Linked DNA regions of Saccharomyces cerevisiae S288C. Changing the gene in region 1 together with any one later gene gives a genetic interaction. Each region holds a gene or a part of one and is shown in the gene's direction. Other genes may lie near its edges.

Evidence for each region.
Region 2: of SNF2 (region 1) and GAL3, changing one enhances a phenotype caused by changing the other (phenotypic enhancement), as found in Saccharomyces cerevisiae (one study listed by BioGRID).
Region 3: of SNF2 (region 1) and RAD26, a mutation in one rescues a mutant of the other (synthetic rescue), as found in Saccharomyces cerevisiae (one study listed by BioGRID).
Region 4: mutations in SNF2 (region 1) and RNA14 impair growth when combined (synthetic growth defect), as found in Saccharomyces cerevisiae (2 studies listed by BioGRID, with this or other methods).

What each region holds. Positions count from the first base shown.
Region 1 is NC_001147.6:854,269-862,628, reverse strand, and holds SNF2 (SWI/SNF catalytic subunit SNF2), read left to right. Parts: upstream 1-2,370; coding exon 2,371-7,482; downstream 7,483-8,360. Other genes in the region: YPK9 (putative acid anhydride hydrolase), read right to left, coding at 1-1,454. UniProt on the Saccharomyces cerevisiae protein: Involved in transcriptional activation. Catalytic component of the SWI/SNF complex, an ATP-dependent chromatin-remodeling complex, which is required for the positive and negative regulation of gene expression of a large number of genes.
Region 2 is NC_001136.10:461,599-466,247, forward strand, and holds GAL3 (transcriptional regulator GAL3), read left to right. Parts: upstream 1-1,835; coding exon 1,836-3,398; downstream 3,399-4,649. Other genes in the region: phosphoribosylanthranilate isomerase TRP1, read left to right, coding at 244-918; YDR010C (uncharacterized protein), read right to left, coding at 3,453-3,785; ATP-binding cassette transporter SNQ2, read left to right, coding at 4,321-4,649.
Region 3 is NC_001142.9:494,874-501,522, forward strand, and holds RAD26 (DNA-dependent ATPase RAD26), read left to right. Parts: upstream 1-2,481; coding exon 2,482-5,739; downstream 5,740-6,649. Other genes in the region: RAV1 (Rav1p), read right to left, coding at 1-1,578; PET191 (Pet191p), read left to right, coding at 1,810-2,136; putative E3 ubiquitin-protein ligase HUL4, read right to left, coding at 5,840-6,649. UniProt on the Saccharomyces cerevisiae protein: May be involved in the preferential repair of active genes.
Region 4 is NC_001145.3:390,763-396,018, forward strand, and holds RNA14 (cleavage polyadenylation factor subunit RNA14), read left to right. Parts: upstream 1-1,992; coding exon 1,993-4,026; downstream 4,027-5,256. Other genes in the region: SEN15 (Sen15p), read left to right, coding at 337-723; SAM complex subunit SAM37, read right to left, coding at 770-1,753; ARG7 (glutamate N-acetyltransferase), read right to left, coding at 4,292-5,256. UniProt on the Saccharomyces cerevisiae protein: Component of the cleavage factor IA (CFIA) complex, which is involved in the endonucleolytic cleavage during polyadenylation-dependent pre-mRNA 3'-end formation and cooperates with the cleavage factor NAB4/CFIB and the cleavage and polyadenylation factor (CPF) complex.

The sequences.
Region 1 (8,360 bases):
GTTTTCATTCTCAAATTAATTTGATTTTTACCAAACGCAAGTTCTCTATCTTCTTGAACCCCCTTAGTTAAACCATTTGATACGGTACTTAAATCCACCCAGTCAGGATCTATCCAGTTATTGTTAGTTTTAAAGAGATCATCGAGCGGTGAATATATGAACTTAATATATCTGTATTCAAATGTGATCAAGATAGGCACATTTGGATTAATTTCATTGGCATGGTGGTGGCTCAAATTGATATCATTTGGTTCATATGACGGATTAGGGTAATTTTCAAAAGGTAAAACAGTACTTAATGGTCTATTATACCACTGTCGATCGATAGGTTGTATGACAAACTCACCAAACTCATTTTCTATCACGACCCATTCTGCTTTAGCCAATGGCACTTTCACGCCATATAATTTAACTTTGAGATGGGGAAGCCATCTCGTTAAAAGATAAACTAATCCGAAAGTCAAGAAGCAGCACAGGTTGTAAATAATATACCAGAATTTTGAGGTCTGGTAAGCAGCGATACCAATAACTAAATCCTCTTCCGCAATGTAAAACCTTTGGTAATGCAAGTTTGGTGCATACTGTGGATAAAACTTTTCATGATAGTCAGGTTTTAGATATTCGCTATGCTGATTATGAACATCATCATGACCAGAAAAGCTTCCTCTATTATTTTCGCTTGCAGATCGCCTACTATCTGAAGATTCTAAAGAATGTGTAGAAGACTCGTCTTCTAGTATTTCATCTGTTTGACTTTCTAGTTCAATAGGAATTCTTTCTCTGGTCGTATATCTCGATAAACTGGATGATGAATGTGTAGCGGAATGATAAACGAACCCAGTGTCAGAATTTTCTCCCAGCCTTTGTGGTGCCCTTGAACCAGAGCGACCCCTCTTACTGAAAGATCCATAAGACTTTGCATTTGAGAGAGATGATGCTCTGGAAAAACTTCGAATAGAAGAACGCCTGGAAGATAGGCCCGTACCATAGATTCTATCTTGTTCATAAGCGGGGGTGGCATCCCAGGCCATGTCATAATCTGTATTTTCTAACGTGGAAGCGCCTTCAGCATTGGATATTTGCTCCTGAGTGAAAAATCGAAAATGAGAAGGGTTTCTAGAAGAGCTTCGAGACTGTTCAGCCGAGGATAATACTAAAGGCTCTGATTCAGTCAATCGGCGGCCTCTCTGCTCTAGGTTCCCTGAAGAATGCGGACTTGGGAGGTTGCTTGATTGAAAAGAATGAGGGTGATGGAATGATACAATAGAACTTGGCACGGCTTCGAATGTTGCACCTGCGTACGGTTCCGAATTGTTCTGATCCAGTACCATCGCGGAAGTCAATGTGGCCGCCGTAGAAGTAGTGGCTGTAGAAGAAAAAGAAGCCCTCGGCATTCTTCGGTTCCTTTCACTCCTTTGGCCATGTTGAATTTGGTTTGAAGAGGGAATATCCATTACCGGAGTATATGCAAGATCTATCAGTAAGTCTGGGCTCCTTTTTATTTTAAAGAAGAATCTATTGACTCTGAACTATTTTCAATCAAAAATAAATTCACAAGTCCAACACCTCCAACTCTATGGTATTGCGTTCTCTTTTTGCCCTTTTTTCCTTTTTTTCTTTTTTTCACTACTCTTTCCTTGATTTCCATTTTTTTTCATTTTTCACTCTTCTATCACCTCTTCATACCCATACCCCCTGTTGGCCGCGGCTGCCCTAAATACACACATATATATATATAAAACAAACAAGGCATTTTTCAAATTAATAAAACTAATAAAAAAAGCTATAGAGCCTTTTCTTAGAACACAGTGTTGAAATATTCGCTTTTTTCTTTTTATTGAAACTCCTTCACTTCCAAAAAGACACGATTCTTAATGGCTATTCTGAGTGAACATAAGGACACTAAGAACTAACAAGTAATTGAAAAAAAAAGAAGAAGACATGATGAAGAAGAATTAGTGAGCAAAATACAGTTGAAGTTCCTAACGCTTATTTTCCTTGCAGATTAATTCCAATACATTCGCCACTATTGGAATTTTGCAGGTAGCCAATTTTCGCGTATATATACTAGGTTTAGGAAAAATAGCCGCCGGTAAAAATAGTGATAGGCTGTTACCCGAATACCGTTGTTCGCGATATGTTAAAACCGCGTTTGAAAGACAAATATCAACAAATTGATTGACGAAACGGGGCCATCCTGAGGCGGTAGGACAATAAGTTAAAAGAAAGGTTACCTCTAGTCTCAATAAAGAAGATATTTGTGACGTACGTGGACCTTTTGTATATAAATCATCGGGAAGGTCAGCTATTCTGTTGTTTCTCTAATCGCGACTTTCTGCTATTTTCACGACTTTCGATTAATTATCTGCCATGAACATACCACAGCGTCAATTTAGCAACGAAGAGGTCAACCGCTGCTATTTAAGATGGCAGCATTTGAGAAATGAACACGGAATGAACGCTCCGAGTGTGCCGGAATTTATCTATTTGACTAAAGTGTTGCAATTTGCTGCCAAGCAGCGACAAGAATTACAAATGCAACGCCAACAGCAAGGCATTTCAGGTTCTCAGCAAAATATTGTTCCAAATTCTTCAGATCAAGCAGAACTGCCGAATAATGCTTCCTCGCACATTTCTGCTTCTGCTTCCCCGCATTTAGCTCCGAATATGCAATTGAATGGAAATGAGACCTTTAGCACTTCTGCTCATCAATCACCAATCATGCAAACACAGATGCCATTAAATAGCAATGGTGGTAATAACATGCTACCACAACGGCAATCTTCGGTTGGTTCATTAAATGCAACTAATTTTTCACCAACACCAGCAAACAATGGAGAAAATGCTGCGGAGAAACCAGATAACTCAAACCATAATAACTTAAACCTTAATAATTCCGAGCTTCAACCGCAAAATCGATCATTACAAGAACACAACATACAGGATTCAAATGTGATGCCAGGTTCGCAGATAAATTCTCCTATGCCCCAGCAGGCGCAGATGCAGCAGGCACAATTCCAAGCACAACAGGCGCAACAAGCGCAACAGGCACAACAGGCACAACAAGCACAAGCGAGACTGCAACAGGGGAGAAGATTACCCATGACAATGTTTACTGCCGAGCAATCCGAACTGTTAAAGGCCCAAATCACATCTCTAAAATGTCTAGTAAATAGAAAGCCTATTCCGTTTGAATTTCAGGCTGTTATCCAAAAATCTATTAACCATCCTCCAGATTTCAAAAGAATGTTACTGTCTTTGAGTGAGTTTGCGAGAAGAAGACAACCCACAGATCAAAATAACCAATCAAATCTCAATGGCGGCAACAATACGCAGCAACCCGGCACCAATTCCCACTACAATAACACTAACACTGACAACGTTTCTGGGCTTACCAGAAATGCACCTTTAGATAGCAAAGACGAAAATTTTGCATCTGTTTCACCAGCTGGTCCATCTAGTGTACATAATGCGAAGAATGGCACCCTCGATAAAAATTCGCAAACTGTAAGTGGCACTCCAATCACGCAAACAGAATCGAAAAAAGAGGAAAACGAAACCATTTCAAACGTAGCTAAAACAGCTCCTAATAGTAATAAGACCCACACCGAGCAAAATAACCCGCCAAAACCGCAGAAACCCGTTCCTTTAAACGTCCTTCAAGATCAATATAAGGAAGGAATAAAAGTGGTAGATATAGATGATCCTGATATGATGGTTGATTCTTTTACGATGCCCAATATCTCACATAGTAATATCGATTATCAGACTTTATTGGCCAATTCGGATCATGCAAAGTTTACTATTGAACCTGGCGTTCTACCGGTTGGTATTGACACACATACCGCTACTGACATTTACCAAACTTTAATTGCATTGAACCTAGATACTACGGTAAATGACTGTTTGGATAAGCTACTAAATGACGAATGTACGGAATCAACCAGGGAAAATGCTCTTTACGATTACTACGCCTTACAATTATTACCGTTACAAAAAGCCGTAAGAGGTCATGTATTACAATTTGAATGGCATCAAAATTCTTTATTAACCAATACACATCCAAATTTTCTTTCGAAAATAAGAAACATCAACGTTCAAGATGCATTGCTAACAAACCAACTTTATAAGAATCATGAATTACTTAAGTTAGAAAGGAAGAAGACTGAGGCAGTGGCCAGATTAAAGTCGATGAATAAATCCGCCATCAATCAATATAATAGAAGACAAGATAAAAAGAATAAAAGGTTGAAGTTTGGCCATAGACTCATTGCTACGCATACTAATTTAGAAAGGGATGAGCAAAAGAGAGCTGAAAAAAAGGCAAAAGAACGTTTACAGGCTTTAAAGGCGAACGATGAGGAAGCCTATATAAAATTATTAGACCAAACCAAAGATACAAGAATTACACATCTTCTAAGGCAAACAAACGCATTTTTAGATTCTTTAACAAGAGCCGTGAAAGATCAACAAAAGTACACTAAAGAAATGATTGATTCCCACATAAAGGAAGCATCGGAGGAAGTGGATGATTTGTCCATGGTCCCCAAGATGAAGGATGAAGAATATGATGACGACGACGACAATTCTAACGTCGATTATTACAATGTCGCACATAGAATTAAAGAAGATATCAAGAAGCAGCCTTCAATATTGGTTGGTGGTACCTTAAAGGACTATCAAATCAAGGGTTTACAGTGGATGGTTTCGCTTTTCAATAATCATTTAAATGGTATTTTAGCAGACGAAATGGGTCTTGGTAAGACTATCCAGACGATATCCTTACTTACATATTTATATGAAATGAAGAATATTCGTGGGCCATATTTAGTCATTGTTCCTTTATCTACACTGTCAAATTGGAGCAGTGAATTCGCGAAATGGGCTCCTACCTTAAGAACTATATCATTTAAAGGTTCGCCAAATGAGAGGAAAGCCAAACAGGCTAAAATAAGGGCAGGTGAATTTGATGTAGTTCTGACTACCTTTGAGTATATTATTAAAGAAAGAGCACTTTTATCCAAGGTCAAGTGGGTCCATATGATTATTGATGAAGGCCATAGAATGAAAAATGCGCAATCCAAGCTTTCTTTAACCTTGAACACACATTACCATGCAGATTATAGATTAATTTTGACAGGTACACCACTTCAAAACAACTTGCCAGAATTATGGGCCTTATTGAATTTTGTGTTACCCAAGATTTTCAATTCCGTGAAATCTTTTGATGAATGGTTCAATACACCCTTTGCCAACACCGGTGGGCAAGATAAAATTGAGTTGAGTGAAGAAGAGACGCTTTTGGTTATCAGGAGATTGCATAAAGTCTTGAGACCCTTTTTATTGCGTCGTTTGAAAAAGGATGTAGAAAAAGAATTACCGGATAAAGTTGAGAAGGTAGTGAAGTGCAAAATGAGCGCTTTACAACAAATTATGTACCAACAAATGTTGAAATATCGTCGTCTTTTTATCGGTGATCAAAATAATAAGAAAATGGTAGGTTTAAGAGGTTTCAATAATCAAATCATGCAACTAAAGAAAATCTGTAATCATCCTTTTGTATTTGAAGAAGTTGAGGACCAAATCAATCCAACAAGAGAAACGAATGATGATATTTGGCGTGTTGCTGGTAAATTTGAACTATTAGATAGAATTTTGCCTAAGCTTAAGGCAACTGGGCATAGAGTATTAATTTTTTTTCAAATGACCCAAATTATGGATATTATGGAAGATTTTTTAAGGTACATTAATATCAAGTACCTGAGGTTAGATGGTCATACAAAATCTGATGAACGTAGTGAGTTGTTACGTCTATTTAACGCCCCTGATTCTGAATACTTGTGCTTTATCTTATCAACTAGAGCGGGTGGTTTGGGTTTAAATTTACAAACTGCAGACACTGTCATTATTTTTGATACTGACTGGAATCCTCATCAAGATTTGCAAGCTCAGGATAGAGCGCATAGAATAGGTCAGAAGAATGAAGTTAGAATTCTAAGATTGATTACTACGAATTCAGTTGAAGAAGTTATCCTAGAGAGAGCCTACAAGAAGCTAGATATCGATGGTAAAGTCATTCAAGCAGGTAAATTCGATAACAAATCTACATCGGAGGAACAAGAAGCGTTGCTTAGATCTTTGCTGGATGCAGAAGAGGAACGTAGAAAGAAAAGAGAGTCTGGTGTTGAAGAAGAAGAGGAGTTAAAAGACTCAGAAATCAACGAAATTCTTGCTCGAAATGACGAAGAAATGGCTGTTCTTACAAGGATGGATGAAGATAGATCAAAGAAGGAGGAAGAATTGGGAGTAAAGAGCCGTCTCTTAGAAAAGAGTGAATTACCTGATATTTACAGTAGAGATATTGGTGCCGAGCTCAAACGTGAAGAATCAGAATCTGCTGCTGTTTACAATGGAAGGGGTGCAAGAGAACGTAAGACGGCAACTTACAACGATAATATGTCTGAAGAACAGTGGTTAAGACAATTTGAAGTTAGCGATGATGAAAAAAATGACAAGCAGGCAAGAAAACAACGAACAAAGAAGGAAGATAAGAGCGAGGCGATTGATGGGAATGGAGAAATTAAAGGCGAAAACATTGACGCTGATAATGACGGTCCTAGAATTAATAATATATCGGCCGAAGATCGGGCAGATACGGATTTGGCAATGAATGACGATGATTTCTTGTCTAAAAAGAGAAAGGCAGGAAGGCCCCGTGGAAGACCTAAGAAAGTGAAACTTGAAGGATCTGAAAATTCTGAACCACCAGCGCTTGAATCAAGTCCAGTTACTGGCGATAACTCTCCCAGTGAGGATTTTATGGACATTCCAAAACCACGTACAGCGGGAAAAACATCTGTTAAATCAGCAAGAACTTCAACAAGGGGCCGTGGTCGCGGTCGTGGTCGTGGTCGAGGGCGAGGACGTGGACGAGGAAGGCCGCCAAAAGCAAGAAATGGGCTTGATTATGTCCGCACGCCCGCTGCGGCAACGAGTCCTATTGATATTAGAGAGAAAGTTGCTAAACAAGCTCTAGACTTATACCACTTTGCTCTCAATTATGAAAATGAAGCTGGAAGGAAACTTTCTGACATTTTCCTCTCCAAACCTTCCAAAGCACTATATCCCGACTACTATATGATTATTAAGTACCCTGTCGCCTTTGATAATATTAACACGCATATTGAAACGCTAGCTTACAACTCCCTTAAAGAGACCCTTCAAGACTTTCATCTGATATTTTCCAATGCTAGGATATACAATACTGAGGGTTCAGTAGTATACGAAGACTCTTTAGAACTGGAAAAAGTGGTTACGAAGAAATACTGTGAGATAATGGGCGATAACTCACAACTCGACTTTACTGAATTTGATGAACAGTATGGCACCAGACCCCTCGTCTTGCCTCCTGTTGTTACTTCAAGCGTGGCTGAATCTTTCACAGATGAAGCGGACTCGAGCATGACAGAAGCGAGTGTATAGTACCTTCCTAAAGCAATATAAGTACTTATTCGTTTATACGTAGACAAACATTAATCCCTCTTTTTTTTATTGTACCCATTAACCGAGTTGGGATGTTTAATATCTCTAGTATAACGTGCCGTATATTTCCTATATATATATATATATATATTTATATATATTAGATTTTAAGTTAATTGTTCAACTAATTGATCGATTTCGCCTCTTATAATTCTGCTATACATATTTATTTTAAACCATCTCTTTGAACAAAGTAATATGTCGTCATCATAGTGAACTTGTTCTTGGACCTAATTATAAATTTTCCAATACGGAACAAATTATTTGTTCCAACACCCTGCTAGCAACACAGGGCAATATATATAAAGAAGATATATCTACTACTTCTTTTCCTTGAGTATATGTCTTTAATAGATATTTCATGTATTTGATTCATCTTTAATGGAAATACTCGGAGATTATATACAGGTCCGAGATGGCCTTAAAGATATTTCCCACAAATGTATTTACCACTCATTAGAAATGAGTTTCTGTTGTATTACGGGCTCGAGTAATACCGGAGTGTCTTGACAATCCTAATATAACAGTCTTAGGGAAGTAACCAGTTGTCAAAACAGTTTATCAGATTAATTCACGGAATGTTACTTATCTTATATATTATATAAAATATGAATCATACTAAGTGGTGGAAGCGCGGAATCTCGGATCTAAACTAATTGTTCAGGCATTTATACTTTTGGGTAGTTCAGCTAAGGAAGGACGGGTTTTGTCTCATGTTGTTCGCTTTGTTATAAGGTTGTTTCATATGTGTTTTATGAACGTTCAGGATGACGTATTGTCATACTGACATATCTCATTTTGAGATACAACAGTTTCAA
Region 2 (4,649 bases), on another chromosome or scaffold:
TAATAGAACAGCATCGTAATATATGTGTACTTTGCAGTTATGACGCCAGATGGCAGTAGTGGAAGATATTCTTTATTGAAAAATAGCTTGTCACCTTACGTACAATCTTGATCCGGAGCTTTTCTTTTTTTGCCGATTAAGAATTCGGTCGAAAAAAGAAAAGGAGAGGGCCAAGAGGGAGGGCATTGGTGACTATTGAGCACGTGAGTATACGTGATTAAGCACACAAAGGCAGCTTGGAGTATGTCTGTTATTAATTTCACAGGTAGTTCTGGTCCATTGGTGAAAGTTTGCGGCTTGCAGAGCACAGAGGCCGCAGAATGTGCTCTAGATTCCGATGCTGACTTGCTGGGTATTATATGTGTGCCCAATAGAAAGAGAACAATTGACCCGGTTATTGCAAGGAAAATTTCAAGTCTTGTAAAAGCATATAAAAATAGTTCAGGCACTCCGAAATACTTGGTTGGCGTGTTTCGTAATCAACCTAAGGAGGATGTTTTGGCTCTGGTCAATGATTACGGCATTGATATCGTCCAACTGCATGGAGATGAGTCGTGGCAAGAATACCAAGAGTTCCTCGGTTTGCCAGTTATTAAAAGACTCGTATTTCCAAAAGACTGCAACATACTACTCAGTGCAGCTTCACAGAAACCTCATTCGTTTATTCCCTTGTTTGATTCAGAAGCAGGTGGGACAGGTGAACTTTTGGATTGGAACTCGATTTCTGACTGGGTTGGAAGGCAAGAGAGCCCCGAAAGCTTACATTTTATGTTAGCTGGTGGACTGACGCCAGAAAATGTTGGTGATGCGCTTAGATTAAATGGCGTTATTGGTGTTGATGTAAGCGGAGGTGTGGAGACAAATGGTGTAAAAGACTCTAACAAAATAGCAAATTTCGTCAAAAATGCTAAGAAATAGGTTATTACTGAGTAGTATTTATTTAAGTATTGTTTGTGCACTTGCCTGCAGGCCTTTTGAAAAGCAAGCATAAAAGATCTAAACATAAAATCTGTAAAATAACAAGATGTAAAGATAATGCTAAATCATTTGGCTTTTTGATTGATTGTACAGGAAAATATACATCGCAGGGGGTTGACTTTTACCATTTCACCGCAATGGAATCAAACTTGTTGAAGAGAATGTTCACAGGCGCATACGCTACAATGACCCGATTCTTGCTAGCCTTTTCTCGGTCTTGCAAACAACCGCCGGCAGCTTAGTATATAAATACACATGTACATACCTCTCTCCGTATCCTCGTAATCATTTTCTTGTATTTATCGTCTTTTCGCTGTAAAAACTTTATCACACTTATCTCAAATACACTTATTAACCGCTTTTACTATTATCTTCTACGCTGACAGTAATATCAAACAGTGACACATATTAAACACAGTGGTTTCTTTGCATAAACACCATCAGCCTCAAGTCGTCAAGTAAAGATTTCGTGTTCATGCAGATAGATAACAATCTATATGTTGATAATTAGCGTTGCCTCATCAATGCGAGATCCGTTTAACCGGACCCTAGTGCACTTACCCCACGTTCGGTCCACTGTGTGCCGAACATGCTCCTTCACTATTTTAACATGTGGAATTCTTGAAAGAATGAAATCGCCATGCCAAGCCATCACACGGTCTTTTATGCAATTGATTGACCGCCTGCAACACATAGGCAGTAAAATTTTTACTGAAACGTATATAATCATCATAAGCGACAAGTGAGGCAACACCTTTGTTACCACATTGACAACCCCAGGTATTCATACTTCCTATTAGCGGAATCAGGAGTGCAAAAAGAGAAAATAAAAGTAAAAAGGTAGGGCAACACATAGTATGAATACAAACGTTCCAATATTCAGTTCTCCGGTCAGAGATTTACCAAGGTCTTTCGAACAAAAACATTTAGCGGTTGTAGATGCATTTTTCCAAACATACCATGTCAAACCTGATTTTATCGCTAGGTCTCCTGGCAGAGTAAATCTGATTGGTGAGCATATAGATTATTGCGATTTTTCAGTTTTGCCATTAGCCATTGATGTGGATATGCTTTGCGCAGTTAAAATTTTAGACGAAAAAAATCCATCCATTACCTTAACAAATGCGGACCCTAAATTTGCTCAGCGAAAGTTTGATCTGCCTTTAGATGGTTCCTACATGGCCATAGATCCGTCTGTGTCGGAATGGTCGAATTACTTTAAATGCGGACTACATGTGGCACATTCATACTTGAAAAAAATTGCTCCGGAAAGATTTAATAATACACCCTTAGTAGGTGCGCAGATCTTTTGCCAGAGCGATATTCCTACTGGTGGTGGACTCTCATCTGCATTTACTTGCGCGGCAGCACTAGCCACAATTAGAGCCAATATGGGAAAAAATTTTGATATTTCCAAAAAAGACTTGACCCGCATCACAGCGGTTGCTGAGCACTATGTTGGAGTCAATAATGGTGGTATGGATCAAGCAACGTCTGTTTATGGGGAAGAAGATCATGCTCTATACGTAGAGTTTAGGCCAAAACTAAAGGCCACACCTTTCAAGTTTCCTCAATTGAAAAATCATGAAATCAGTTTCGTCATCGCCAATACTCTTGTAAAGTCTAATAAATTCGAAACTGCTCCTACAAATTACAATTTAAGAGTAATAGAGGTAACAGTTGCTGCCAACGCCTTGGCGACCAGATACAGCGTGGCCTTACCATCTCACAAGGACAATTCTAACTCAGAAAGAGGGAATCTAAGAGATTTTATGGATGCTTACTACGCCAGATACGAAAACCAAGCCCAACCATGGAATGGAGATATCGGAACTGGTATTGAACGTTTACTCAAGATGCTACAATTGGTAGAAGAATCTTTCTCGAGGAAAAAGAGCGGATTCACTGTACATGAAGCCTCTACGGCGCTAAACTGTTCACGTGAGGAGTTCACTAGAGATTACCTGACAACTTTTCCCGTCCGCTTCCAAGTCTTGAAACTATATCAAAGAGCTAAACACGTTTACTCCGAATCCTTAAGGGTGCTTAAGGCTTTAAAAATGATGACAAGTGCCACTTTTCACACGGACGAAGATTTCTTTACAGATTTTGGCCGACTAATGAATGAGTCCCAGGCCTCTTGTGATAAACTTTATGAATGTTCGTGCATAGAAACCAATCAAATATGCTCGATTGCCCTAGCAAATGGTTCTTTCGGCTCCCGTCTCACTGGCGCTGGTTGGGGCGGTTGCACTATCCACCTTGTTCCTAGTGGCGCTAATGGGAACGTGGAACAGGTACGAAAAGCACTAATCGAAAAATTCTACAATGTAAGATATCCGGATCTCACAGATGAAGAACTAAAAGACGCAATTATAGTTTCGAAGCCTGCCTTGGGTACTTGTTTGTACGAACAATAACACTAAACACCTTCTTGGAACAACCTTTAAATATTAAAAGTTTACTCATACCTCTTACACTCTATAAAGAAACAAGTTGGTGAGTCCAATAGAACCCATTCCAGCATCCGATGCAACCATAGCCCGGTTGATGCGAGTCAGAGTGGCTCCGCACACAGAGGTTATGTGACCATGGTAACCGTACACATTTTTCCACGGCAAGGAAGTGGCGCGAAAGAAGCACCGCCCTCCACGGATCACCCCATTTGGAAAAGAACGGAGACATAAAAAAAAATTACCTTCACGCCAGACTATGTATGACTCGTAGAAATCTAGCATCCGCGGAGCTATTTTAAGTTTCCGCGGATGCCTTTCGATCCTTTCCCAGTCGTCTGGTTCCGCGCACATATGACTAAATGTCCGCCCATTTCCGTTTAAATCCGTTTTCTATTTTCTTTAGGTCTTTCCATTGTATTCCCTGCAACCCCGCTGGGTATTGGTATTACTAATAGTGACTACGCAACATCAACATATAAAACAAATGATGAGTAGTGCCCCTCCCTCACCGCTATCGCCTCACCACTTTTTATGCTTGTATATGCTTGTAGATAAATAAATACCTAACGAAAACAATATATACGAACCTAGTGTATTTGTATCTTTTGTTTTTCAAGTTGAAGTGTTGCGAGGTCAAAAAAAAAAAAGCTCACTGTAGGATATAGGAGTTACTATATCACCAGTGCATTACATTCTCAGTGCATCCATCGTCTTCAACATTGATTATTTTCTCCTTCCATTGATTAGAGTTCAAGCTCCCTGAGAAAACGAAGGTATAGCGGACGTACCCGCAGAGACATAAAAAAAGAAAAACTATATCGAAGACCGAAAGCAGTAAAAAAGTGGATAGAATAACACAGCTACCAAAATACGTAAAGAGAATTCAATGAGCAATATCAAAAGCACGCAAGATAGCTCTCATAATGCTGTCGCTAGAAGCTCAAGCGCTTCTTTTGCAGCTTCAGAAGAATCATTTACGGGCATAACCCATGACAAAGATGAGCAGAGCGATACCCCGGCGGATAAACTAACAAAAATGCTGACAGGACCTGCAAGAGACACTGCGAGCCAGATTAGTGCCACTGTGTCTGAAATGGCGCCAGATGTCGTATCTAAAGTGGAGTCATTTGCAGATGCACTATCCCGTCATACAACGAGAAGCGGTGCCTTTAATATGGATTCAGATAGTGACGATGGGTTCGATGCCCATGCCAT
Region 3 (6,649 bases), on another chromosome or scaffold:
TGTTAAAGAGACTTCAAAAGCTTTGATTGAACCATCAGAGAATATTAACGCGGTGAAATGACGCTCATGACTATGCTTTGGCTCAGGTGTATTTAACATAACTATTGGATGGATTTTTTTCTCCTCTTTCAGTCTCGTTTCCACACGTAAATATGATTGCTTCTGTTCACTGTCCTCCTTACGATTCGTTGGACATTCCCAGGCTTGTAAAGCCCCATTTTCGAGAAGACAGATGACCTGTTTACCCAACTCATGTACAACTGCAAATTTTATGGGAGATTCTGTTTGTATTGTATTTTGTAACCGCAGTGAAACCCCATGGTTTAACTTTTGTGGGTACCAAACGCCATTTTCTGAGAATCTCGAAGTGGTTAATAAAGCTTCGCCGTCGCTGCTTCTTACCAACTTCTGCACAGATTTGTTATGTCCCGTAAATTTGTGCTCTAAAGCGGCACTCAGATCTTCGGTTTTATTGTTTATAAGCTGCAGAATGTCGATTAGTAAATGTCTGATTACACCTTGTAAATCGTGGACGAGAAAAGAAAGTTTGCCCTTCACATTGTCATAGGGTTGTATTTCGGGGAGGTACAAATATCTTGTATCGTTTAGCATAGTTGCTTTCTTGACTTTTTTATGGGAAATGGTCTTTTTAGTCATTGGTTTTGGAGGATCTTGGGAAAGATTATTCAAAGCCAAAACTTCCATTTCCCCAGTCATTGAACCCAGAATAACAATGTCTGAGTCAGATATATCAAAGATTTCCGAGTCTTTCACACTGAGAGTTTGCCTAATGATCCAATTGTCTATTATCACGCAGAACTTCTGCGTGGGGGAAAGAGGCACTTCACCCCATATTTGCACAGTATGGTTTTTCTCCATTTCAAAACAAGACCATATTCTCAGAACTTTATCTTCACACAGCGTATAAAGAGCATGAGAGGCAGTGTTGTTTTTACTCACCTGGTCTGGCTCTTTTTTCCACCGCATTGCAGTTATAGGTTTCGGATGAGGCAACATAGTAAGGTTAAAGATGGCTTGTTCTCCGACTATTGAAACACGCTTCCATAGTTTAGCATTACAGTCGTACTTCCCAATACTGACTATCAGCTGCGAATCTTGTGATATAATCACATTATAAACAGGTTTAGGCTGTTTTTGGTTCCACTGCAAAATAGGTTGATACACACCAAAATTATCCTTAATTTTCCAAAAAGAAAGAAAATCAGATCCAATGGCTAACTCATTATCAGAAGACCATCTTAGGCAGTTTACTGGCGTGTCATCATGGAACAACTGGCAACATTGGGTCCACTTGGGATTCTGCATAATTTGATGAATGGGCTTGTAGATGAGCACCCTATTGTGGAAGGAAAGGGCAATGAATCCATTCTGGCTGTTAATATCGACCGCAGTACAGTCTGATTGTGTATATATGGTCTGTAACCTAGTGAATTTGTTGGTAAGTATGATTAAATTATTCCCTGAACAATATGCAAAGATGGTATGATTTTGCCATGTTGCTTGACAAGCTGTCTGAGGGGTAGCATTGGGGCGTCCTGGAAGAAAGTTCAATGACATGAGAACTACCTTTGCGTGTGCACGTTTGTTTACTTTCTCAATTGTTTGCGGTGTTCTTAGATCCCTTTAATTATTAAAAAAACTGAAGTGCTTGAAACAATAACATAACGAGGTTTCGCTATGCGGGCAGCTTTAAAGAAAGAGGGATAGTATATTAAAAGGCTGCCATAACAATTAATCGGAACAGAATAGACACAAATAAATTTGCAGTGCGTTTGTAGATATCAAAGAATGGTAGCTAGTTGTAAAGATCAGAAGAAGGCTGTCGCTATATGTTTGCAGAGATCGCCCTGTGTCATGATAGAGAGACATAACCCTCAAGAATGTCTTGACAATCCAGAGCTGAATAAGGATCTGCCCGAACTTTGTATTGCTCAGATGAAAGCATTTTTGGATTGTAAGCGAGGAATCGTCGACATGACTAAGCGGTTCACAGGTAACGCACCTCTGTCGACTGGCAAGTACGATCAACAGTACGAAAACTTGTGCAAAGGAAAGTTTGATCCGAGGGAGGAGATGGAAAAGCTAAAACTTCTGAACAGCCAGCAGAAGGACTGATTATTTATGAAAATTGGCCTGTAAATATATACATAAATAAATATATGCGTCAAGCTCTTTTATTCGGTTTGTCCAGTAATCCTCTTACAATATATATATATATATATACGCATGTAGCGTATTCAAGAACATTACATTTAAAAAATAGAGGGTAGAACAATAAAAATGCACTTAACAAGTTCCGTAAGTAGAAATTATAATCAGTCTAAGTACAAATTTATACCTTAGCTTCATTTCAGTTAAGGGCGATGCAATAAAAGTGGAAGAAAAAAAAAGAAGGGAAGAGGTTTGATAATATATATATATATATATATATAACATTGCTCAGAGAAACATACATCAGTGATGGAAGATAAAGAGCAGCAAGACAATGCGAAACTTGAAAACAATGAGTCACTAAAAGATCTGGGAGTTAACGTGCTTTCCCAAAGCAGTTTGGAGGAAAAAATAGCTAATGATGTAACTAACTTTAGCAACCTACAATCGCTGCAGCAAGAAGAGACTCGTCTAGAACGGAGTAAGACCGCTCTGCAACGTTATGTCAATAAGAAGAATCATCTCACAAGGAAGTTGAACAATACCACTAGGATATCTGTTAAGCAGAATCTCCGAGACCAGATCAAGAACTTACAATCAGACGATATTGAACGAGTTCTGAAGGACATAGACGATATCCAATCAAGGATTAAAGAGTTGAAAGAGCAGGTAGATCAAGGTGCTGAAAATAAAGGTTCCAAAGAGGGGCTGCAGAGACCCGGTGAAACTGAGAAGGAGTTTTTAATCAGGACTGGTAAGATCACTGCATTTGGACACAAGGCTGGTTTCAGCTTGGACACTGCAAACAGAGAGTATGCCAAGAATGACGAACAAAAAGATGAGGATTTTGAAATGGCAACAGAACAAATGGTAGAAAATTTAACGGATGAGGATGACAATCTCAGCGATCAAGACTATCAAATGAGTGGTAAAGAGAGTGAAGATGACGAAGAAGAAGAAAATGACGATAAAATTCTCAAAGAACTGGAAGACCTGCGGTTCAGAGGCCAACCTGGTGAGGCGAAGGATGATGGGGACGAGTTGTATTATCAAGAAAGGTTAAAAAAATGGGTGAAACAACGTTCTTGCGGTAGTCAAAGGTCATCGGACTTGCCAGAATGGCGAAGACCTCATCCGAATATTCCCGACGCAAAACTTAATAGCCAGTTCAAAATACCCGGTGAAATATACTCGCTGTTATTTAATTACCAAAAGACGTGCGTTCAGTGGCTCTATGAGCTTTACCAGCAGAACTGTGGCGGTATTATTGGTGACGAAATGGGTCTGGGAAAAACGATTCAAGTTATCGCATTTATCGCAGCGTTGCATCATTCAGGTCTATTAACAGGCCCTGTATTAATTGTCTGTCCTGCAACTGTGATGAAGCAATGGTGTAATGAGTTCCAGCATTGGTGGCCTCCATTGAGGACGGTCATATTGCACTCAATGGGTTCAGGAATGGCTTCTGACCAAAAATTTAAGATGGATGAAAACGATCTAGAGAACTTGATAATGAATTCAAAGCCAAGTGATTTTTCTTACGAGGATTGGAAGAACTCAACAAGGACAAAGAAGGCATTGGAATCAAGCTATCATTTAGATAAGTTGATAGATAAAGTCGTTACTGATGGGCACATTTTAATTACCACGTACGTTGGGTTAAGAATACATTCAGATAAGCTACTAAAAGTTAAATGGCAGTATGCTGTTTTAGATGAGGGACATAAGATTAGAAACCCAGATTCGGAGATTTCATTGACTTGCAAAAAACTGAAGACACATAATAGGATCATTCTTTCAGGAACACCGATACAGAATAATTTAACCGAGCTTTGGTCGCTTTTTGATTTCATTTTCCCTGGTAAATTAGGAACTCTACCTGTGTTTCAACAACAGTTTGTCATACCTATAAATATTGGTGGTTATGCAAACGCAACAAACATACAAGTTCAGACCGGCTACAAATGTGCTGTTGCATTGCGTGACTTGATTTCACCGTACCTGTTACGTCGTGTGAAAGCTGATGTTGCAAAAGATCTGCCACAAAAGAAAGAAATGGTTCTCTTTTGTAAGCTTACGAAATATCAAAGAAGCAAATATTTGGAGTTTCTGCATTCTTCAGATTTAAACCAAATACAAAACGGTAAGAGAAATGTTCTATTTGGTATCGACATTCTAAGGAAAATATGTAATCACCCCGATTTACTTGACAGAGATACAAAGAGACATAATCCAGATTACGGTGATCCTAAAAGATCCGGAAAAATGCAGGTTGTCAAGCAATTATTATTACTGTGGCATAAGCAGGGCTATAAAGCCCTACTCTTCACTCAATCGAGACAAATGCTCGATATTCTAGAGGAGTTTATATCAACGAAAGATCCCGATTTATCACATTTGAACTACCTACGAATGGATGGGACAACTAATATCAAAGGGAGACAGTCGTTAGTTGACCGGTTTAACAATGAATCTTTCGATGTATTCTTACTAACCACAAGAGTTGGGGGGCTAGGTGTTAATTTAACCGGTGCTAATAGAATTATCATTTTTGATCCAGACTGGAACCCATCTACTGACATGCAAGCTCGAGAAAGGGCATGGAGGATTGGGCAGAAAAGAGAGGTATCAATATATAGGTTGATGGTAGGAGGTTCAATAGAGGAGAAGATTTATCATAGACAAATATTCAAACAATTCTTAACCAACAGGATTTTGACTGATCCTAAGCAGAAACGATTTTTCAAAATTCACGAACTCCATGATCTGTTTTCACTGGGGGGTGAAAACGGTTATTCTACAGAAGAATTGAACGAAGAAGTTCAAAAACATACCGAAAATTTAAAAAATTCCAAATCAGAGGAAAGTGACGATTTTGAACAACTGGTCAACCTATCTGGCGTATCTAAACTAGAAAGCTTTTATAACGGTAAGGAAAAAAAAGAGAATAGTAAAACAGAGGATGATAGATTAATCGAAGGGTTGCTAGGAGGAGAGAGCAATTTAGAAACCGTTATGAGTCATGATTCGGTTGTCAATTCGCACGCGGGCAGTTCTTCTTCGAATATAATTACAAAAGAGGCTTCCAGAGTAGCGATTGAGGCGGTTAATGCGCTAAGGAAATCGAGAAAAAAGATCACTAAGCAATATGAAATTGGGACACCTACTTGGACAGGTAGGTTTGGTAAAGCAGGTAAAATTAGAAAGAGAGATCCGTTGAAAAATAAATTAACTGGATCAGCTGCCATTTTAGGCAATATTACAAAATCACAAAAAGAGGCATCCAAGGAAGCTCGCCAAGAAAATTACGACGATGGTATAACCTTCGCAAGATCCAAGGAAATCAATTCCAATACCAAAACGCTAGAAAATATTCGGGCATATTTACAGAAACAGAATAACTTTTTCTCATCTAGTGTTAGCATACTTAACAGCATTGGCGTCAGTCTTTCTGATAAAGAAGACGTTATTAAGGTTAGAGCATTATTAAAAACCATAGCACAGTTTGATAAAGAGCGTAAAGGGTGGGTGCTTGATGAAGAATTTAGGAATAACAATGCTTCATGAAAACTTAGAATGGACAGAGTACCCTTGACGTAACTTTACCCATAGAAATATCTATAAAAAATATGTATGTGTTATGTGTATATGTATATTCTGAAGACTCTTAGCGGAACCCGTAACCTTCAGATTCATTAATTGCCCAAAGTAATTTCAGTTCTAGTTTTTTTTTCGAGGAATAATTCCATAAACATATTTCATTAAAACATGTATGAGCCAATGGCAAATCATCACTATCATGCGACCCTAGCAAGCTAATTTTGAATGGGATAGTAGAGATACCCGTTGCAGGTATACGATCAGATGCCGTTACGAATTGTAATAATTTCTTCTGCAATGGATAGTCCCAACTTTCAATAATTTCCCAAAACCAGCAAACCGCTCTGGAATCATCGGAGAAGCCACCTACATACTTTGTCACGGATCTTAACGATTTGAAATCAAATTTAGTTTGTTCCTCATCACCACACACTAATCTCTCCAGCTCTTCAGAATTAAATAATTTTATAGAATTGCATTCTGCGAAGACCCTTTTAAAACCTGAAACAAATTTATTGTATTGTGGCTCAATGGACTTTTCCAGATAAAATTCTACCCATTTCATGACAAACTCATGCTTGTTACTTTGGGTTATTGGCACATTTCTGCCATTTTCACATAATTCTACCGTTACATACTCTTTGCTCGATTTACTGTCATTTAAAATCCAGTTGTTATTTCGATACGTAGTCTCAAATGTTAAAGAAAAGACGTCTTCGAAATTATCCTCTGTGTAATTGAGCATTTTTATTAAGTTCCTACTTGTCTCCGGAAACAATTCCGAGTAATCTTCAAAACTCAGAGGCTCTGAGCATAGTTTTTTATAAAGCGCCTTTGGAAATTGTAAATCTAATATGGTACTGTTGAAAATCGCCAA
Region 4 (5,256 bases), on another chromosome or scaffold:
CTGTTTTTTTTTTTTCGGTCAAGGGTTCCAAATGCATTTGCATGTAAAGTGAATGCCCTTGTCTTACTTAATATTACATAGACATATACTTAATAATCTACCACGTTTCAAATTCAATAATGCATGCTTCTTGGCGGTTTTTGACATGAGATCCTCATCTGTCACGAGGCTGATGTGCATACTTTTACTTTTAATCGATGACATGATCAGTTTCTTTTGAACAAAAAGCCGTTATGGGTTGAAAAAAAGTGAAAATGAAAAAGTCATCAGAAATATATGAAAGATATAATAAATTGTCGAAGAGAAATTACGTCGAGGAGGTTGAGGAAAATAAGAATGGCAACGACAGATATCATATCTCTAGTAAAAAATAATTTACTCTATTTCCAAATGTGGACGGAAGTGGAAATTTTACAAGACGATTTATCATGGAAGGGAAATAGCCTGAGATTACTGAGAGGTCGTCCGCCTCACAAGCTGAGCAACGATGTAGACACAGAGCATGAAAATAGCTTGTCATCGCCACGCCCGCTAGAGTTCATATTACCCATCAATATGTCACAGTACAAAGAGAATTTTCTCACTTTGGAATGCTTGAGCCAGACATTTACTCACTTATGTAGTCCATCTACTGAAAGAATACTGCTGGCCATAATTAACGATGATGGTACAATTGTTTATTACTTCGTTTATAAAGGAGTACGAAAACCGAAAAGAAATTGAAAAATGAACTTAAAGACACCTTTCTGCATTATTTTGTTTATTTTTATTATATGTATTTACAGGCTAAATTATATAATGACATCACAACGTTTCCTTGCTCTCTAAATTGAGGATCTCTTTGCTCCAAGTTATTACTTGGTCTATGGACGAAGTCATCAATTTTGTTCGACATACTATTCAATAATTCACTTCCAAAGGTTTGTTCCAGTTTTGAACGGATGCGGTTACCATCAGGTAGGCCTAACTGAACGTAAAGATTTGCAAGGAAAAGAAGGTCGGAGGAAAGTATTACAGAATCATCCAGTTTTTTACGGGCAGCCAACCAATTGCTGACGCAACTCTGTAGTCTATTATCAAATTGAAGATTATATTTCACCTGTTGTAGCTCTTGCTTACCCTTAATTTTGTTCTTATGCGCAATTTTGAAGGTCTTTGATTGTGCTAGTTGCGAGGCTGACTCCATTGCTTTACTTTCTACAAATTCTTCATCATCCTCAAGGGTCAGTGAGCCTATAATCTCCTCACAATTTTCACGTGCTTGCGATCTTAGTTGCAATGGCGTATTATACCACATAGGAAAATATAGCAATTTTGAAAACAACTTCTTGGTATATTCATTGTAATTTTTGGTGTTCAAAAAGAGCTGGTAGTCCGTTAGTCTGGAAATTTCAACGTCAACATAATTCAATAGGGAATACTCTAAAAGGCGATCCTTTTTTCTAACAATTGCTAAATCTTCTTCATAATCCGTACCTTTCTCATATTTGCTAGTACATATATTTTTATGTAAGAATTGTACGATGTTCACGTAACCAGATACTTTCGTTCCATTATCTAAAATTAACACTGGTAGTTTTCCATCTGATGATAGGTCTGTATTGTTTGAGAATACGATCTGCAATCCCGCAACCATACTCTTTGCCTCTTCTGAAGTACATAACTTGATAAACCATACAAGCGCAATGCTGTCCACTGAAATCAACGATGCTTTGCCATCCTTTCCCCATAAATGCACACTACCTTTAACCATTACTGACTCGATAATAGCCTTGCTTTGCGTTTATTTGAAAAATACAAATTCCAGCATTAAATAGTAGCCATTCTAAATAGCTTATTTCTTATTACATTTCCCACTTCGTTTAAAATGATAACAATCGTGACAAAATTGTCGGTTACCTTGTAATAATTAAGAAGAAAAGTGTAGCTTGTGTGATGAAAGAGTATTCTACAACGAAATAAAAGGCCAAACTGGAGAGTCAAACAAGAGATATGTCCAGCTCTACGACTCCTGATTTACTATATCCCTCTGCGGACAAAGTCGCAGAGCCTAGTGACAATATACATGGAGATGAACTACGACTTAGAGAAAGGATTAAAGACAATCCCACGAATATTTTATCATACTTCCAGCTTATTCAATATTTGGAAACTCAAGAGTCATACGCTAAGGTGAGAGAAGTATACGAGCAATTTCATAACACATTCCCGTTTTATTCACCTGCGTGGACTTTGCAACTAAAGGGTGAATTGGCAAGAGATGAATTTGAGACTGTTGAGAAGATTTTGGCTCAATGTCTTTCTGGCAAGTTGGAAAATAATGACCTATCTCTTTGGTCAACATATTTGGACTACATACGCAGAAAAAACAACTTAATTACTGGTGGACAAGAGGCGAGAGCTGTTATTGTCAAGGCATTCCAACTAGTTATGCAAAAGTGTGCAATTTTTGAACCCAAATCATCTTCTTTTTGGAACGAATATCTCAATTTTTTAGAGCAGTGGAAGCCATTCAACAAATGGGAGGAGCAACAGCGAATTGACATGCTCAGAGAATTCTACAAGAAAATGCTATGTGTTCCTTTTGATAATCTAGAAAAAATGTGGAATAGATACACTCAATGGGAACAAGAAATAAATTCCCTAACAGCCAGAAAATTTATTGGCGAGTTATCAGCCGAATACATGAAAGCCCGTTCCTTATACCAGGAATGGTTGAACGTTACTAATGGATTGAAAAGGGCATCTCCAATTAATCTGCGCACAGCAAACAAGAAAAACATACCACAACCAGGTACCTCAGACTCAAACATTCAGCAGTTACAGATTTGGTTGAATTGGATAAAATGGGAAAGGGAGAATAAGTTGATGCTTAGTGAAGATATGCTATCACAAAGAATCAGTTACGTTTATAAACAAGGTATTCAATACATGATATTTTCTGCTGAAATGTGGTACGATTATTCAATGTATATATCTGAAAATTCGGATCGACAAAATATCTTATATACTGCGTTATTAGCTAATCCCGACTCACCTTCTCTTACATTCAAGTTATCCGAATGCTACGAACTGGATAATGATTCTGAAAGTGTTTCTAACTGTTTTGACAAGTGCACTCAAACTTTACTATCGCAGTATAAAAAGATCGCCTCCGATGTAAATTCGGGTGAAGATAATAACACAGAGTATGAACAAGAGCTGCTATACAAACAGAGGGAAAAATTAACATTCGTGTTTTGCGTGTATATGAATACGATGAAAAGAATATCAGGACTATCCGCAGCACGTACTGTATTTGGTAAATGTCGTAAACTGAAGCGTATATTAACACATGACGTCTACGTGGAAAATGCATATTTAGAATTTCAAAATCAAAACGATTATAAGACTGCTTTTAAGGTTTTAGAATTGGGTTTAAAATACTTCCAAAACGATGGAGTTTATATCAACAAATACTTAGATTTTTTAATATTTTTAAATAAGGATTCGCAGATCAAAACCTTATTTGAAACATCAGTGGAAAAAGTGCAAGATTTAACCCAGCTGAAGGAAATATACAAGAAAATGATAAGTTATGAATCGAAATTCGGTAACTTAAACAACGTTTATTCTCTAGAGAAAAGATTTTTCGAACGGTTCCCCCAAGAAAATTTGATTGAAGTTTTCACAAGTCGTTATCAAATTCAAAACTCCAACTTAATAAAGAAATTAGAGTTAACTTATATGTATAATGAGGAAGAAGACAGTTACTTTTCTTCTGGAAACGGGGATGGCCATCATGGCTCTTACAATATGAGTTCGTCAGATAGAAAGAGACTAATGGAGGAAACTGGAAACAATGGAAACTTCTCCAATAAGAAATTCAAAAGAGACTCAGAGCTTCCAACAGAGGTTCTTGATTTATTGAGCGTTATACCAAAACGTCAATATTTTAATACAAATTTACTCGATGCGCAGAAATTGGTGAATTTTTTAAATGATCAAGTAGAGATTCCAACAGTTGAGAGCACCAAGTCAGGTTAACATTACGTTAATAAATAGGTATATATGAATATTTATACCAACACATCTATTATAATAGGCGAACCTCTGTATGTAATTAAGTAAAAAAAAAACGATGTGACAGGATAGTTAAGGTGCCTCGTACATAAATAAAAACGGAAATAGTTAATTCTTTCAAAAATATGGCAATAGCCAAACTCATTCAGAAGGTACAGGAAACACTCTGTTTCTGTGCGTTTATATAACCATGCTTATAAAAGAAAGATTGAACAAAATATACATGAATTTATGAACGGTAATCACCGTTAATTGTTACATATTCATGTGATAAATCACAAGTCCAAAATTGTGCTGCCTGATCACCGGTTCCCAAGTCGACAGACACTTCCAAATCATTCAAAGCCAATATTTCAGAAGCCCTTGTTTCATCGATCTCCAATTGTGGCACACCATTAGCGACAAGCTTCAGCTCACGAGGTTCTGAATTGTCGGTAGCAATAAAGCTAACATTAATTTTGTTGACATCTAGAGATTTTAAGTCATTCAGCTTTGCATACCCGATCGCGCACAATATTCTTCCCCAATTGGCATCTTGCCCATATAGTGCGGTTTTGACCAACATAGAGTTTGAGATTGATTCAGCAATTATTTTGGCGTCTTCAAAATGCAAAGCATTTTTAACGTTAACAGTAACAAACTTTGTCGAACCTTCACCATCGCGAACGACTAACTGGGCCAAGCGCTGAGCAAATTCTGTGACCTGCAATTTTACTTGTTCAAAATCTTTAGAGTCTTCGTTAATTTCTTTGGTGTCAATAGCACCGTTGGCCAACATGCAAATTGTGTCATTGGTGCTCATATCACCGTCCACCGATATACAATTAAATGAACGGGTAGTAGCGAAAGTCAGCATCTTCTGCAACGCCTTGCTTTCAATAGGAAGATCTGTAACTATGAAACCTAATAAGGTAGCCATATTCGGACAAATCATACCCGCGCCCTTTGCCATACCTGTCAAAGTATACTCAGTACCACTAGGTAATTTGAATCTAGATGTAACTAATTTTGGGAAAGTATCAGTAGTACAGATTGATTTGGCTACGTTCAACCAAGAGTTAAAATCACTGCCGAACTTTTCTTCTCCAAAAATTTTATTGATACCAGTGCTGATCTTGTCCATCTGTAGTCGTTGTCCAATAACGCCTGTAGACATGACTAGGGTAGAATTTTTTTGACCAATTTTATCGTTAA